2 linked regions of the Tamandua tetradactyla genome follow. The protein of the gene in region 1 interacts with the protein of each later gene in a pairwise test. Links are inferred from orthologs where the notes say so. Each region holds a gene or a part of one and is shown on either strand. Other genes may lie near its edges.

Region 1 (7,484 bases):
AGGGCACAGGGGAACGGGGTGGGCAGCGGCAGGCTGCAGGGACCCCTGTGCCCACTTCTCCTGGCCCTTCCACCCCCCACTCACTCAGCCCCACTGGCTCAGGCCTGCACCCGACACACTCCACACTTGTCCCTCCTCCAAGCAATATCACACTTGTGCCCACCACCCAAAACTCACTTTCCCCAGACTCTGGCGAGGCAGGCAGGGGGGCTTTGGATTTGCTCACTGCTCTATCCCCAGCACCTAGGACAGGGCCTGACATAAAGCAGGCACTCAGCATCTACTTGTTTGATCCTGACATCAACCCTTCTGAAAAGCCTTCTCAGCACACTCTCTCTAAATGGGTCCCTTCAGTCCATTCAACTACTCCCCACCTTAGCCCTCTCCCCTTTCTCTCCTTGGGGCCACACAGCCTGACTTTCTTGTTTCTGTGTTTGACGTAATCTTCTCCCAAGAGGGCAAGGAGAGGGGGTTCCTGCGTGCTGCTGTTCCCAGCACCTGTCCTGGGTTTATTTGGAGCTCCTGGAAGCCGAAAGGGAGAGCCCACAAGGCTGGGCACTCAGCCCTTACCTCAATGGTGGACGCCTTCAGCAGGGCGATCTGGTCCTCACGGCCCAGCTGCATAAAACCGGGCACCTGCTTAGCAAAGTCAACGATCTCCTGGACCGAGATGATGGCCAGCTCCGTGAAGTGGGCGAAACGCTGCTGGCGGGCATCGCGGGACTGGGGGTCTGCACCCAGGGGCCAGGGCTGGGGACATGGGGACTATGGTCACTCCCAGTACTCTTCCCTTGAGCCCAACACTGGAGGGCATCTTGAGGCAGAGCCTGCACCTGGGGGTACTCTCCTCTCAAAGCCCCTGGACTCTCAAGCCTCCCTCCCTCCCCAAGCCCTGGGCTGAAGCTAGCCAGATGCTACTTGCTCCTTGAGGCGGTGGAAGGGGCAGTACCGTGACTTTGGGCTGATCTGAGAAGGAACGCTTGTTGCACTGCAGCTGGGCTGCCACCAACTGCTGGATCATCAGTTCCTGAGCCGCCGTCAACTGGACCCCTTCGCCTTCCCCACAGCCCTGGCTGCTGGCCTCTGACCCTCCAGGAGAGGCCCCAGACCCAGGGGCTGAGCTGCTGCTGCTGCTGCTGCTGCTGCTGCCCCCTGGCCCCACGGGCGACTGTTGCTGCTGCTGCTGCTGTTGCAGCTGCTGCTTCCGAATCTTTTTTTTCCGGATCTGTTCTTCAGAGAGGACGCCTGTGGGGAGATGCAGGCCTCAGCAGAGGTCCCAAGCTGGGTGGGGACCAGACTGGCTCTGCTCCCTCAATCCCAGCACTCACACTGCTCCCTCATTCCTGCCTCCTTGCATTTGCGCAGCCGGCACTGCTGGCACTTGCGCCTCATGAAGGCATCCATCTGGCAGGTGCCACCGCCCCGACAGGCATAGCGCCCAGCCCCACCGCGGACCACACTGCGCCGGAAGAAGCCCTTGCAGCCTTCGCAGCTGAGCACGTTGTAGTGGAAGCCAGAGGCCTTGTCCCCGCACACCCGGCACAGTTCATGGCCCAGCATCTTCGGAGCCGGACCCTTCTTCCGCTTGCGCTCTGGCTCTTCCACTGGGTATGGGGTGACTGTGGTGGGTGGACAGAGATCGTGAGGAGAGCCTCAGAGAGAGCACCCAGAGAGGTCGGCCCCAAGGAATTCCAACAAAGAACCAACAGACAGGAAGAGAGATGCATATACCCAGGGAGGCAGGGATTCAGAGGAAAAAAGAGGTGTGGGTGAACCCCAAAGAATGAGTCAAAGTAAGAGATGTCAAGGAGGAACAGAAGGGAAAAAATCCCGTCTCACCCTTCCAGTCTCTGCACTTTCTCCCGAAATCCCTCCCAGACTCCCCAGGTGAACTTCCTGACCCCTGGGTCCTGTCTCACCCACACTGCAGGCTGAGCCTGCCCCATCAGTGCCTGGGACATCAGGGTCCGGACCCCCAGTCCACGGCTCTGGACCTTCTTCCTTTATGGCAGGGGAAGAAGAGGGGACACCGGGCTGAGGGGGTGCATTTCCTGGGAGAAGGGAGGAAACAGAAGGAGACTGAGTGAGCATCTTCTGATTGTGTGTAATAGAGGCTGGGTGGGAAAGGAGGTCACTCACCAGGCAGGGGGTTGTCCAAGGAACTGGTGCTAGGAGTGGACATGGTGGGGTCACGGAGCAGCCTACAGAACAGACAGGGTTAAAGAAAGGGCTTGTGGGACCACAAGGGGTCAGGTGGTACAAGTTACCAGCCCGACTGGGACCCAATACCTTCCTCCAACTCCATCCAACTTCATTCAAACTCCACCCCAGCCCCAGGCCAGAACCCTACCAGCATACAAATCCTCCCCTCCTAGTCTAGCAAGCCACGCCTCTTCCCCTGCTCCAGGACAGCTTCCAGCCACCCGGTCCCTATCCCGCCCACCTGCCGGTTCCAGGTCCCACCCCTTAATGATGCCCCGCCCTCATTTCCTCCCTTCCCTCACACCCCACCTACTCCCACTCAGAGACTCCACCTCCCACAAGCTACCCCCTCTCATCCTGACCCCACCTCTTTCCATCAGGCTCCGCCCATCATGCACAGCCCATAACCTGGCCCCAAGCTCACGCCATCAGTACCCCTCCCAAGCCCCGCCCCATTACTCGCTCCAGATCCCGCCCCAGCCCGCCCATCATGCCCTTGGCCCCACCTCCTTCCATCATGCTCCGCCCCTCACCTCGCTCCAGGTTCCGCCCCTCTCCGAGCGCCAGTAGGGGGCGGGGCTCATGGCTGCTCACGGGGGTCTCGTAGGCGGCCTCTTGTGGGGGTCTCCGGCTCCCGTTGCTTTGGAAACAGCCGGGGCGATGCGAGCTACGGAGGGGAGAGAGTGGAAGAAAGGCTGAGCGGAGCAGCGCAGGGGACGCCGGGAAACGCCGGGCCCGGGACTCCTCCGGCGCCCCTCTGCCCTCGGGTGCACCTGCCTTCGTTCCCGTTTCTCTGCTTCTCTTCCTCCGCTCTGTCCCCTTGCGCGCTACCACTGCTTAGGTCCCCTCCAAAACTAACTTCGCCACTTCTTCCGGCAACCCCGCCGTGCGTCACTTCTAGTCAAGGGCGGGGAGTGAAAGGTGACGGACTTCCGGTCCGCCCAGAGCGGGCCGAATCGGTTGCCCCGAACGGAAGTCGTTTCCTCACCGGAAGTTTACCCTGGCCGGGTAGTTCCCCTGGGGTCCGGCGGGAGAGTTCCGGGCCCTTTCGTGTAGCTATCCAAGCGCCTGGCTCGGTTTTAGCGCTCCTTGGTGTAGCTGCATTTCGCAAATGGCTGGTTAACCCGTTTTTGTCCTTTTTTGGGTTAACAAGTTTTCGGATTTTAGAGATGTGCTGCTTGTTGGTTTTAAATAAAACTACAATTCTGCATCCAGAAGATGTTTTGTTTTGTTTTGAATGATTTAGGGATTGGAATATTTTTTTAAAACTTCCCCTTACAAAAAAAAAAAAAGTAAGAAAGCTCTTGAGGAAATTCTAACAGGTAGAAGATGGAAATTGTTCTACAGCCTCCCCCTTCCATATATGCACATTTGTAAAATTAAGTGTAAGAATATAAGATCTATACTCTTTTTGTAGCTTGTTTTGTCCACTCAATAGGATAATACAAAGATCCTTCTGTGTTTAGCAAATGCTACTCCCCAGTCTGAATTTATAGGCCGTGAATGTTTCACCCAAAGAGGTTACCGATAAAGAGAAGTGGTTATCGTGGGCTTCGGGGTCAGAAGGAATGGGTGCCCCTGCCACTTCCTTGCTGTGAAACTTTGAAGTAACTTAACCAACCTCCCTGCGCCTCGGTTTTCTCATCTGTAAATTGGAAACGAGGAAAGAATCGACCTATTGCGTTGTCATTATGATTTACTGAGAGGTAAAAAATATGAATTGGATGAGCTCGAGGGAGAAGCCCTGTATGTTGGCGCTATTGTTTAGTCCTGTGGGTATTAAGGTATTAGAACAATGCAAAAGACTGTTGACGAATTACTGAAGTGTGAGGGCCAGTTACGTCATAGTTGGCCCTCCTCTAGAACAGATATGATTATTCATATTTCTTAGGAAGGATGAAAGGATTCAGGGAGCATAGTGTCTGACGTATAGAAGCATCCAATCAGCCATCCTAATTGCAGATGAGTGTTCTCACTTGTAACTGACCCACTGTCCACGAAGTTTTTTTTAATGCAACTGTGTTGAGAGATATATTCACGTACATAGACTCATCCAAAGTGTACAATCGGTGGTTCACAGTATCATTATATAGCTGTGCATTCATCATCACAATCGATGATGATTGAAACATTTTCATTACTCCAAAAACAATAGAAATAAAAGTAAAAAAGAACACCCAAAACATCCCATGTCCTTCCCTTAGTATTTATTTATTTTTGACTTTATTTTCTTGCTCATCTGTCCGTACACTGAATAAAGAAAGTGTCTGTCACAAGGTTTTCACAATCACAGGGTCACACCGTAAAAGGTATAAAGTCATACAATCATCTTCAAGAATCAATGCTACTGGATTACAGTTCAACAGTTTCAGGTATTTCCCTCTAGCTACTCCAATACACCAAAAACTGAAAAGGGATGTCTATATACTGCATAAGAATAACTTCTAGAATGACCTCTCAACTCTTTGAAATCTCTCAGCCACTGAAAATTTATTTTGCTTCGTTTCTCTTTTCCCATTTAGTCAAGAAGGCGTTATAAATGCCGTAATGCCAGGTCCCAGCTCATGCCCAGGAGTCCTGTCCCACGTTACTGGGGAGATTTACACCCCTGGGAGTCATGTCCCATTTAGGGATATCCCTCAACTTTCTTTTTTTGTAGGCAAAAGTAATAAAGTTTATTAAAAGAGAAGTTTATTAAAAAGAGAGGGTACACGTTAGAGAAGTTAACCCGTGCGTGCCCAAGGGGGGACACCCACTGAATGGAGTGGGCCAGCTTGTTTTATAGGAAAGTTTTATCGGTGGTGGGTTTCCATAGTAACCTTTAAATAGTAGATGTCTTCTTTATTCTAGGAGGACATAGCTAGCAGAATTCATGGTTTCTTATCACGAACCTAAAATTGTCTTTGGGCAAATGGTTAACAATCTTTATGTCCTTAGGTTTCCTATTATTAAGTAAGAGTTTGCTTTGGGCCCAGAATTTTACAAGATTTTATAGTTTGGGGAGGATTCAATGTTTTGGGGATGTTTGGGTTTTAGTGACATTTTTGTCCCGGGAGATTTGCAGCTGAAGTCTGCAGCTCTGAGTTAGATCCTCGGAGCTAGATAAGAAACAAGGGACTTAGAGTTGCCTGTTAACTCTTTCAGAGCTGAATAGGAAACCAGGGACTTACAGTTGTACTATTTTATCCTGCTTCAATCTGCTCCCTGAAAGAATTCAATCTCTTTAATCTTAAAGGGGTTGAGGGATAACTGTTTGATGTTTTCAGAGTTGAGAGAGTACATGTGGGAATGCGCATAATTGCTAACAATGATGGAAGGGCTGGGGGATGTTGGAAAATACAAAAAAATCATTATAATTCACCCCATCCCACCACTCTTACAATCTTTGCACCACTTCTTCCACATAAGTCCCTGAGTGTGGGAAAGGGAGGTTACAGGTTTACAGCTTGCAATGCTGAGAAATGAGGGGGAAAAAAAAGCATTTGGGGGAAGGCAAGTACATTTAGAGCTGCTTTGCCTCCCTGTTCATTTATTTTGTCACATAATTATGCCCCAGTCACACTTGAACGTGGACATCTGTCCCATAAGCTGGTATACAGTTGAATCGGGAGTTCTTTAGTAATTTATCCAGATTGAGCTGTTCCAAACAGATGGGCAGGTCCTGTTTAGATGTACTCTTGCTTCTTTTAGAAGTCTTTTTTTGTTGAAGATGATTTTCTCATTTGTAGTTGACTGCAAACAGAATGCAGGTCTCCAGGACCAGTGTCTTACGTAGAAAATGCTGCTCTCCTGGGATCTTTTGGGATCACTCCTGCCAGGCTCACCTGAATATGTAACCAGTGCCCTGCCAGCAATGCTGCCAGCTGAGCTCCGATCAGGTTCAACAGTCTTGAAACTAAAAGAATTTAGAGATGAGAGGGACAGTAGGCATAAATAGTAAAGTTTACTGAAAGAAGTTGATAAAAAAAAAGAGAGAGTATGTGTTAGAAAGGTTACCGTGGGTAAGCCCAAGGGAGGGACACCCCTCAACTTTTAAAAATAGTTTTGTGGAGATGTAGTTCGCATACCATGCAATTCACCCATTTAAAGTGTGTGATGCAACGGTGTTTAGTGTCTTCACAGATTTGGACAACCATCAATGTGGGCAATCATCACGATCAATTTTAGAACATTTTTATCACCCCCGAAAGAAATCCCACACTTATTAGCAGCCAATTCCCATTCTCCTTCCCCCCTCCAGCCCCCACCCCAAACTTCTGGCAACCACTAATTCACTTTCTGTCTCAAATAGACACATACAACATGGCGCTTTTTGTTACTAGTTTCTCGCACTTAGCATGTTTTTTTTCTTTTTTTATTAATTTTTAATTTTTTTAAAAATATAACAACAAACAAATGCAAACATTCTTAATTTATGATCATTCCATTCTACATATATAATCAGTAACTCACAGTATCATCACATAGTTGCACATTCATCATCCTGATCATTTCTTAGAACATTTGCGTCAAATCAGAAAAAGAAATAAGACAACAGAAAAAAATTCATAAATGCTATACCCCTTACTCCTCACTTTCATTGATCACTAGCATTTCAATCTAAGTCAACCTAAGTCAGACACAAGGTTTTCACAATCACACAGTCACACTGTGAAAGCTATAGCATTATACAATCATCTTCAAGAAACATGGCTACTGGAACACAGCTCCACATTTTCAGGCAGTTCCCTCCAGCCTCTCCATTACATCTTGACTAACAAGGTGATATCTATTTAATGCATAAGAATAACCTCCAGGATAACCTCTCGACTCTGTTTGGAATCTCTCAGCCATTGACACTTTGTCTCATTTTGCTCTTTCCCCTTTTGGTTGAGAAGGTTTTCTCAATCCCTTGATGCTGAGTCTCAGCTCATTCTAGGATTTCTGTCCCATGTTGCCAGGAAGGTCCACACCCCAGAAGTCACGTCCCACGTAGACAGGGGGAGGGTGGTGAGTTTGCTTGTTGTGTTGGCTGGAGAGAGGCCACATCTAAGTAACAAAAGAGGTTCTCTTGGGGGTGACTCTTAGGCCTAATTTTAAGTAGGCTTGACCTATCCTTTGTGGGGTTAAGTTTCATATGAACAAACCCCAAGATTGGGGGCTCAGCCTATTGCTTTGGTTGTCCACACTGCTTGTGAGAATATCAAGAATTCAACTTGGGGAAGTTGAATTTTCCCCCTTTCTCACCATTCCCCAAAGGGAACTTGGCAAATACTTTTTTATTCACTGTTCAAATCACTCTG
Region 2 (7,344 bases), on another chromosome or scaffold:
TCAACTTGGCCAGGTGAGCATACCTAGTCTTGTTGCTGAGGACATAAGCCAATGGTGCGTGAACCTCATCTGTTGCCAATTACATCTGCAGTCAGCTAGGAGGCGTGTCTGCTGCAATGAGTGACGTCTGACTTAATTGGCTGGTGCTTAAATGGGAGATTGCAACGTAGCACTGCTAGCAGCTCAGCATTCCTCATCTCAGCACTCGCAGCTCAGCCCAGGCCCTTGGAGATGCAGAAAGAAGTCTCCCCGGGGAAAGTTGTTGGAACCCAGGGGCCTGGAGAGAAGACCAGCAGAGACCATCCTGTGCCTTCCACGTAAGAAAGAACCTCAGTGGAAAGTTAGCTGCCTTTCCTCTGAAGAGCCAACAAAATAAATCCCCTTTTATTAAAAGCCAATCCGTCTCTGGTGTGTTGCATTCCAGCAGCTAGCAAACTAGAACAGCATGCAATAGTAGTTTTCCCCCATACCCCTCTATTATTGATTCTCTGTACAAGATTCATACCTTTGAACGAGTTCATACAAGAACTTATATTTGTAGTGTTAATCCATGGGACACATGAGTCTATACAATCCCTTTCAATCATGTTCACCTTCAATGTAGTAATATTACTTATAAATCCACTAGTGAACTGTTTTCACTTCTATTCATTCCCTTACATTTGAGTTCAACCTCATTAGATATCTCAAGGTTCTGTGTATCTCTAGGTCCCCTATATTCTATATTATAAGTCTCTGATTTTACCTTTACCACGGTCATAAAAGCAAAATCATACAGTAATCTATCCTTTTGTGTCTGACTTATTTCATTGAGCACTATGTCCTCAAGGCTTATCCATGCTGTCATACACTTCAGGACCTCATTTCAGGACCTCATTTCGTCTTACTGCTGCATAGTATTCCATTGTATGTATATACCACATTTTGTTTATCCATTCAACTGCTGATGGGCACTAGGACTGTTTCCATCTTTGGCAACAATCTATTTTGATTACTGTATTTCAATATAATTGGTTTCCTTTGCAGCCTATGTATTTTACTTTACACAATTAAAAATATTATTCTGAGACAGGTTCCTAGGCTTCACCAGATGCTAAAGGGATCCATGCACAGAAAAAGTCAGGATCCCCTGGCACTGGAAAAATCCAGAACAAGGAAAATATTACTGAGCACACATACTGTACTGAAAATCTTACTGTTATGAATGCTCCAATAATCTTTTTGTGGAAAGTCCTTTTTTATTAATGAGGGCCCTGGACCTACTATATCATGACTGATTTGCATAGGTTCTCTCAGAACTCTACCACAGCCCATCTGATCTTTGTCCTCTTCTCTGGCATGATCAAACTTCAACTAGATCCTGGATTTATATCATTATTCACTGTTATATTTTTAGACTTTTTGTGTCACTTTACCGCACAGTAAACACCTAGAAGAAAAGGATCATCTCTTAAAATTCTAGAAAGTCCAAGGTCAAAAGCATCTTGAAAACAACTTCTTTGCTAGAAGGTGGGTTAGAAAATATCAAGTCACCCATACTTTTTTGTATAACAGCCTTTGCAATGACAAACTCAGTACAAAACCAAAATAAAATCATTAACAGTTCTCTGATATATAATGTCATCCTTGACTTTTAAACACTTTTCTCCCAGCTAGCAAATTCCTCTAAGGCAGTACACTGAATGAGGAGGCAAAAGACCTGAGTTCTAGTCCTCCTTCTATCACTAATCTGCAAGATCTTGGAAAGTCAACTTTACCTTTCAATGTCTCAACTAAAATCACTACATGATCTGAAATGATTACATGATCTCTAAGGCCCTTAAAATTCTTTACACATTCACGTCTCTTCACCATTTTTACTGGCTTCAATAACACATTTCTGATGTCAATCTCCCCAGGTGACCCTGCTCTTAAGCAGTGGGCTGTCCCCTTCCTGGGAAGATACCTTGTGTCACCACCCTCCAACCGCCCAGTCCCTCCTTTTAAAGACACACACAAACTCTCTAAGTTTATGGAGGTTCTCTCTCTCCTTGCCAACTATTTCCACTCTCTGCATCCCTTCTGCTCACCAGCTTCTGTATCTAACCTAGCCTCCCTCTTTTCTATTCCTATCCAAGCCCTTCCCTTTTTCTGTTGCTCCCCCTCAACAGGAGTTGGGGGATCCTGGGGACACCAAAGTCCTCAGTCCCTTGGGGGTTATATGGACTTGCAATTCAGCCCCGGGGCTCCGAGGGCTATTCCAATAGGATAACCAATTCTGTCCTCCAAGGGTCCCTGTTTCTGGTCGCTCCTCCTCCAGAGAACTGTCCCAGTCCTGACAGCCTGAACTCGGCCGGCCCTATCAACCTCTGGGTCCTACCTGTTCTGGGGTCCTGTACAACGCCCATGGCCTGACCCTGCCCCAGGTCCGGCGCGCGCACGCAGCCGCGTGGACCTCGACCCAGGTTCCATTTGGACCCTGTGTCCCTTTTCCACAACCCCGGTCACGGCCCCATGGCCGGCTTCGGCCAGTTCTCCAGGCGCGGAGCGCCACCCAATGCAGGCGTCTGCTCGGCCCTGCACTGCACTCCCTCAAGTTCCCGAACCCGCGTCCCGCACCCTCCCCACCCCAGGCAAGGCCCCAGCTCCCTCCAGCGCCCCCGCCCGCAGGCCCCGGGCCCGCTCCCCAACATGGCGACGGGGACACGAGCCCGACGGACGGACGCGCGGGCGGGGCGGCTCCCGGCAGAGCCCGCACTACGGCCGCGCTCCGCGGTCGGTCGCCGCCATTTTCCCGCGCCGGGCCGGAGCAGTACCTCCTCCCAGCTGAGCCAGCCGGCCGGGGCCATAGACGCCCGGCAGGCCCACCCCTTACGGGCCTGCGTCGCCGTCGCCTCACCTGAGCGCAGCTCGCCGGCCCTCCCGGGCGGGCCTCGGAGCGCCAGCCCGGGCCGTGCGTGCCCGCGGCCCTCCGTGCGTGTGTGCGTCCGTGCTCGCCCGCGCCCGTCTATCCGGCGGTCCGCGCCCGGCCGCCAGCAGCCCGACCCGGCTGGGCCTCAGGGAGCCGGAGGGAGGGGGATGGGCCGGACCGGGCCAGGGAGGGAGGGGGAGGGAGGGAGGGAGAGAGAGAGGGGGAGGGAGCGCGGGAGGGGACGGGGTGGGCCAAGGGGCGGGGCCCTGTCCACGTGATCAAACGTCCTTGGGAGCGCTGGGCGGAGCCCGCGCTGGCTCGCGTGGGTGTGGATCTCTTAGACCTGAAATCCCATGGGTTTCTGTCTGCTTACCAGCACCAAAATCTCACCAGGGGCACTTGATCCTACTTTGGAAGCACTGCACAACCCTTTGGGAGTGCTCTGGCTAAATGTCTTAGGGCAAGTTACCTTTCCCAACCTCAGTTTAAGTATCTGAAATATTGAGATAATATTAATGTTTGCGAAGGGGAAATGAGGGAAGGTGTGGAAAGCACTTGGCACAGTGCTTAGCACTTAGTGTCTAATAATATCATCAATGATGATAAGGATAGCCTTTATTATTATTTGCCTGTAAGTCCCTCTCTGCTTTTCCCCATCACCACCATGATAGCAAGTTGAGTAAGTGCTTAATAAATATATCTTTTGACTGAACAAGTGAGTGCAGCTCCCTCCCCTCTCCCCAAATGTCAGGAGGCTTCTGCACAGGGCTTGATGTTTTACAATCCTGGATTCTGATCTTTTACTCTTGACAGTTGTGTTATTTTCTTTGCTTCTCCGAACTTCAATTTCCCCATTTATAAAAAGGGCGTTAAGGGCGGGCCACGGTGGCTTAGCAGGCAGAGTTCTCTCCTGCCAAGTTGGAGACCCTGGTTCGATTCCCGGTGCCTGCCCATGTTTAAAAAAATAATAAAATAAATAAAAAGGAAGGTGAGTCTGTCATAAACATCACAGAAGATAGACGATGAGCAGGTAGATTGTAAGCTGCTTGCACAGCTCAGGAATAATGGTCCCGTCTAAAAAAGGAGTCAGGGCCCCTTTAATTCCATAGATATTTATTGAGCATACACCATATAACTACATCTTCCGTGGCCCAACTCATTCTATTCTTCACCCTGCTGTCAGAGTAATGTTTCTAAGTCAGAAATCTGATCATATCACTCCCCTATTTGATGGCCCCGCATTGTTCTTAAGATAAAAACCCAATAAATATCTTTCTGTTTGCCTCCCTTTCCCTTCTCCAGGTTAAGGCCCTCTTCTCTGTTCTTTGGGCTGCAATGACAGTGGCTTTCTTAAATTCTTCACAGGATACCCTCCTTCCTCAGGACCCTTGCGCATGCGGATCATTCTGCCTAAAATACTCTCTGCCCTTTGGTAATGCATCAATTTTCAGGTTCCAGCTCAAACTCTCTAACCCAAGAATACCCTCCCTGATCACCCCCCAGAAAAGTCTTCTTAGCACCATGTGCTTGTCCTTGATGCAGAATGCACTAGATGGTTTACCACTAGACTGTGGATTCCACAAAGAGGGAGACCTTATCGTCTTGTTCACTGTTGTGTTCTAAGTACATAGCACGGTGCCCGGCACCTGGCACAGAGTAAGTACTCAATAAATGTTTGTTGTGTGTATGAATCCTGGCCACCAGGATAGATGTTGGATCCCAAAAGGACAGAGAAAAGCAAAGAGAACCACGAGGGGACACATACTTCCAGCCTATCAAATTAACTCCAAAGGAACTTTAAAGGAAGCTGGAAAACATTTTTGAAGCTCTTTAACTCTTTAAAATTGAGATATAATGCAAAAATCTTAAGTGTAATACCTAATACATATTTTTAAATCTATGCTCCTGTGTTACCAGGTCAAGTTACAGAGCATCACTATCAACCCAGAAAGTCCTCTTTTGTATCCTCACATGTGTCCTCTCCCTTTACTGGAGGAAATCACTACTCTGACTTATAGCACCAAAGATTAATTTTTACAATTCTTGAGTTTAAGATAGAAGAACTATACAATGTATACACTTTTTGTATTTAGCCTAGAAATCTAACATAACTAAAGAATGACTATTTGGATAATGATACAGTTTATGAATTTCTCGATTAATTCATTAATTTGAAAGATTAAGATGTGACCACGCCATCCTGCTGAGACAGGGGTCCTGCCATCAGCTGGTCCAAAAGCTGACCTCTTAGTCCCATAGAAGCTTCTAAAGGTAAGAAAAGTCTGCAGGATTCCAGAACCTGAGTGACTACCTCATTCTTCATTATCTTATTGGTGTCCTTAACCAAGGGTCATGTGTTTTCCTTAGATCAGGCAGGAAGCAGGGAGCAGAGGAGAGAGGGGCCCACTTGAGCACCTACACATCCTGTTGGTGGAAAGAGAAGGAGCATATGCAGGGTGGCATTGAACTGTAACAGGTCATGAGCTGGCAGACAATGTAACATAATGATGACAAGATTGGGCTCTGAAACCAAAATATCCAAGTTCAGATTCTAGCTGTGCTGTTTATTAGCTATGTGATCTTGGATAAATCCAACCTCCTAATTATATAGATAGGGAAACTGGACCAAAGGGAGATAAATGACTTGTCCAACAGAGTTCAGAATATTCTCCCTTCTTTGTTTTTAATCTAAATATGATTGATGGGGGGGGGGAGGGTGTGTACACACCCCTAGTAAAGTGTAAGCTCCCCAAGGAGACTATTTTTGTAATATTGCCATTTGTAATGTTTTGTACCTCAGTTACCTCATCTACAAGATGCAGATAATAAGGGTAGATAAGGTTTTCAAGAGGATTAAATGAATTAATGCATCTAAAATGCTTAGAGGAGTGCCTAGAACGATGACAGCCTCAATAGACACCAGATTGAACGAGGCCCCTGAAGAAGGTATCTGGCTGTTTTGCAGTGTTTTGAGCAAAAACAAGCAGTCCTGAGATACCCAGTTTCTTATTCTGGATTCAGACGTGGGTAAAGAAAATGCAAATCAATTTTTCTTTGGTATAAGCGGTTTTACTAATTAGCAGTTTTGAACTTCTACTTTCATTTAGGTGTCTGCATGGTCTTGAGCTTTGTAGTGATAAGACTGGTGGTGAATTCTTGAAAGACGTCTTTAAGAAAATAAGAACAGAGAGGAAAAAATCCATAACAAAGCCACCTAAAGAGCACCAACATTCTGTTGTCTACAGGCTTTATCCTAACAGTGCCAAACAACAGGGTTCCCACATTTAGCTGGGCAAGCTACAAGAGGGCGGCACCTTGGCATTGTAGATCTGTACATTTATTGTGCTAATTTACCAGCAGAAGGCAGTATAGTGCCTTGCTAATACGAAATCATTTCATAACAATTTTCAGACAAATGGAAATAAAATGCCCGAGAGGATAGGGTCAGTTTTTTCTACTTCACATAAAAGCTTAATATGGACAACAATGCCTTTCCCTTCAGAAATAAGAAGATTGAAAAATAGAAGAAAACAGAGCAATAACTACACGACTGAAAAAATTGAAAAGTATCAAAAACTAATGAAAAGAGATTCTTAGGACTAAAAAACCTATTTTCAAGAAGATTCTGAAATTCCTGTCCTTTGGAAAAAAAAAAAAACTTTGTCTTAGACTATAGTATAAAGACATAAATGTGAATGAATCATAAGTGTGAAAACCTGATGAATTTTTGGAAAGCGATCATACATGAAGAATCAGTGCTCAAATTAAGAAATAGAACATACCCATACCCATCAAGGGCAAACAATATCCTGACATCTAACTCTGCAGATTAGCTTTGCCAGGTTCTAAACTTTACATAAATGGGATCATACATAAAGTACTCTTTTGAATCTGGCTTCTTTTCCTCAATTTTCTATTTTTGAGATTCATTTATAATGTTGCAGGTAGTTGTATTTTGTTCACTTTCATTGCTGCATAGCATTTCATTATTCCATGTACCACAATTTATCCATTGCACTCATGACAGGCATTTAGGTTTACACTTTAGGGCTATTTTTAATACTACTACCGGAATATTCTTGTACATGTTTTTGGATGAACCTATGTACAATTTTCTGCTGGGGTATGCAGAATGCAATATATCAGAAACAGAACGGCTTTTAAAAAGGGGAATTTATTAAGAAGCAAGTTTACTGTCTAAGGCGTGAAAATGTCCAACTTAAGGCAAGGCTATGAAAATGTCCAAATTAAGGCACCAACAAGAGGTTACCTTCACTCAAGAAAGACCAATGAAATTCAGGGTGTTTCTCTCAGCTGGAAGGGCACATGGTGAAGTCAACTAGCTTTCTCTCCTGGTATCTTGTTTCATAAAGCTCTCCGGGAGGGTGTTTTTCTTCTTTATATCCAAAGGTCTCTGCCTGCTTGGGCTCTCATGGCTCTTTCCAAAATGGTTC

Evidence for each region. The genes of interacting proteins can lie anywhere in the genome.
Region 2: the proteins of NR1H2 (region 1) and NCOA6 interact in a two-hybrid assay, tested with the Homo sapiens proteins (2 studies listed by BioGRID). The link is inferred for Tamandua tetradactyla from reciprocal best matches to the Homo sapiens genes NR1H2 and NCOA6.

What each region holds. Positions count from the first base shown.
Region 1 is NC_135342.1:10,832,399-10,839,882, forward strand, and holds the start of NR1H2 (oxysterols receptor LXR-beta), read right to left. Parts: upstream 3,163-7,484; 5' UTR 3,062-3,162; intron 2,870-3,061; 5' UTR 2,736-2,869; intron 2,202-2,735; 5' UTR 2,183-2,201; coding exon 2,140-2,182; intron 2,052-2,139; coding exon 1,920-2,051; intron 1,620-1,919; coding exon 1,329-1,619; intron 1,246-1,328; coding exon 950-1,245; intron 751-949; coding exon 571-750; intron 1-570. UniProt on the Homo sapiens protein: Nuclear receptor that exhibits a ligand-dependent transcriptional activation activity. Binds preferentially to double-stranded oligonucleotide direct repeats having the consensus half-site sequence 5'-AGGTCA-3' and 4-nt spacing (DR-4).
Region 2 is NC_135327.1:17,839,382-17,846,725, reverse strand, and holds the start of NCOA6 (nuclear receptor coactivator 6), read right to left. Parts: upstream 3,068-7,344; 5' UTR 2,879-3,067; intron 1,974-2,878; exon of another isoform or gene 1-1,973. UniProt on the Homo sapiens protein: Nuclear receptor coactivator that directly binds nuclear receptors and stimulates the transcriptional activities in a hormone-dependent fashion. Coactivates expression in an agonist- and AF2-dependent manner.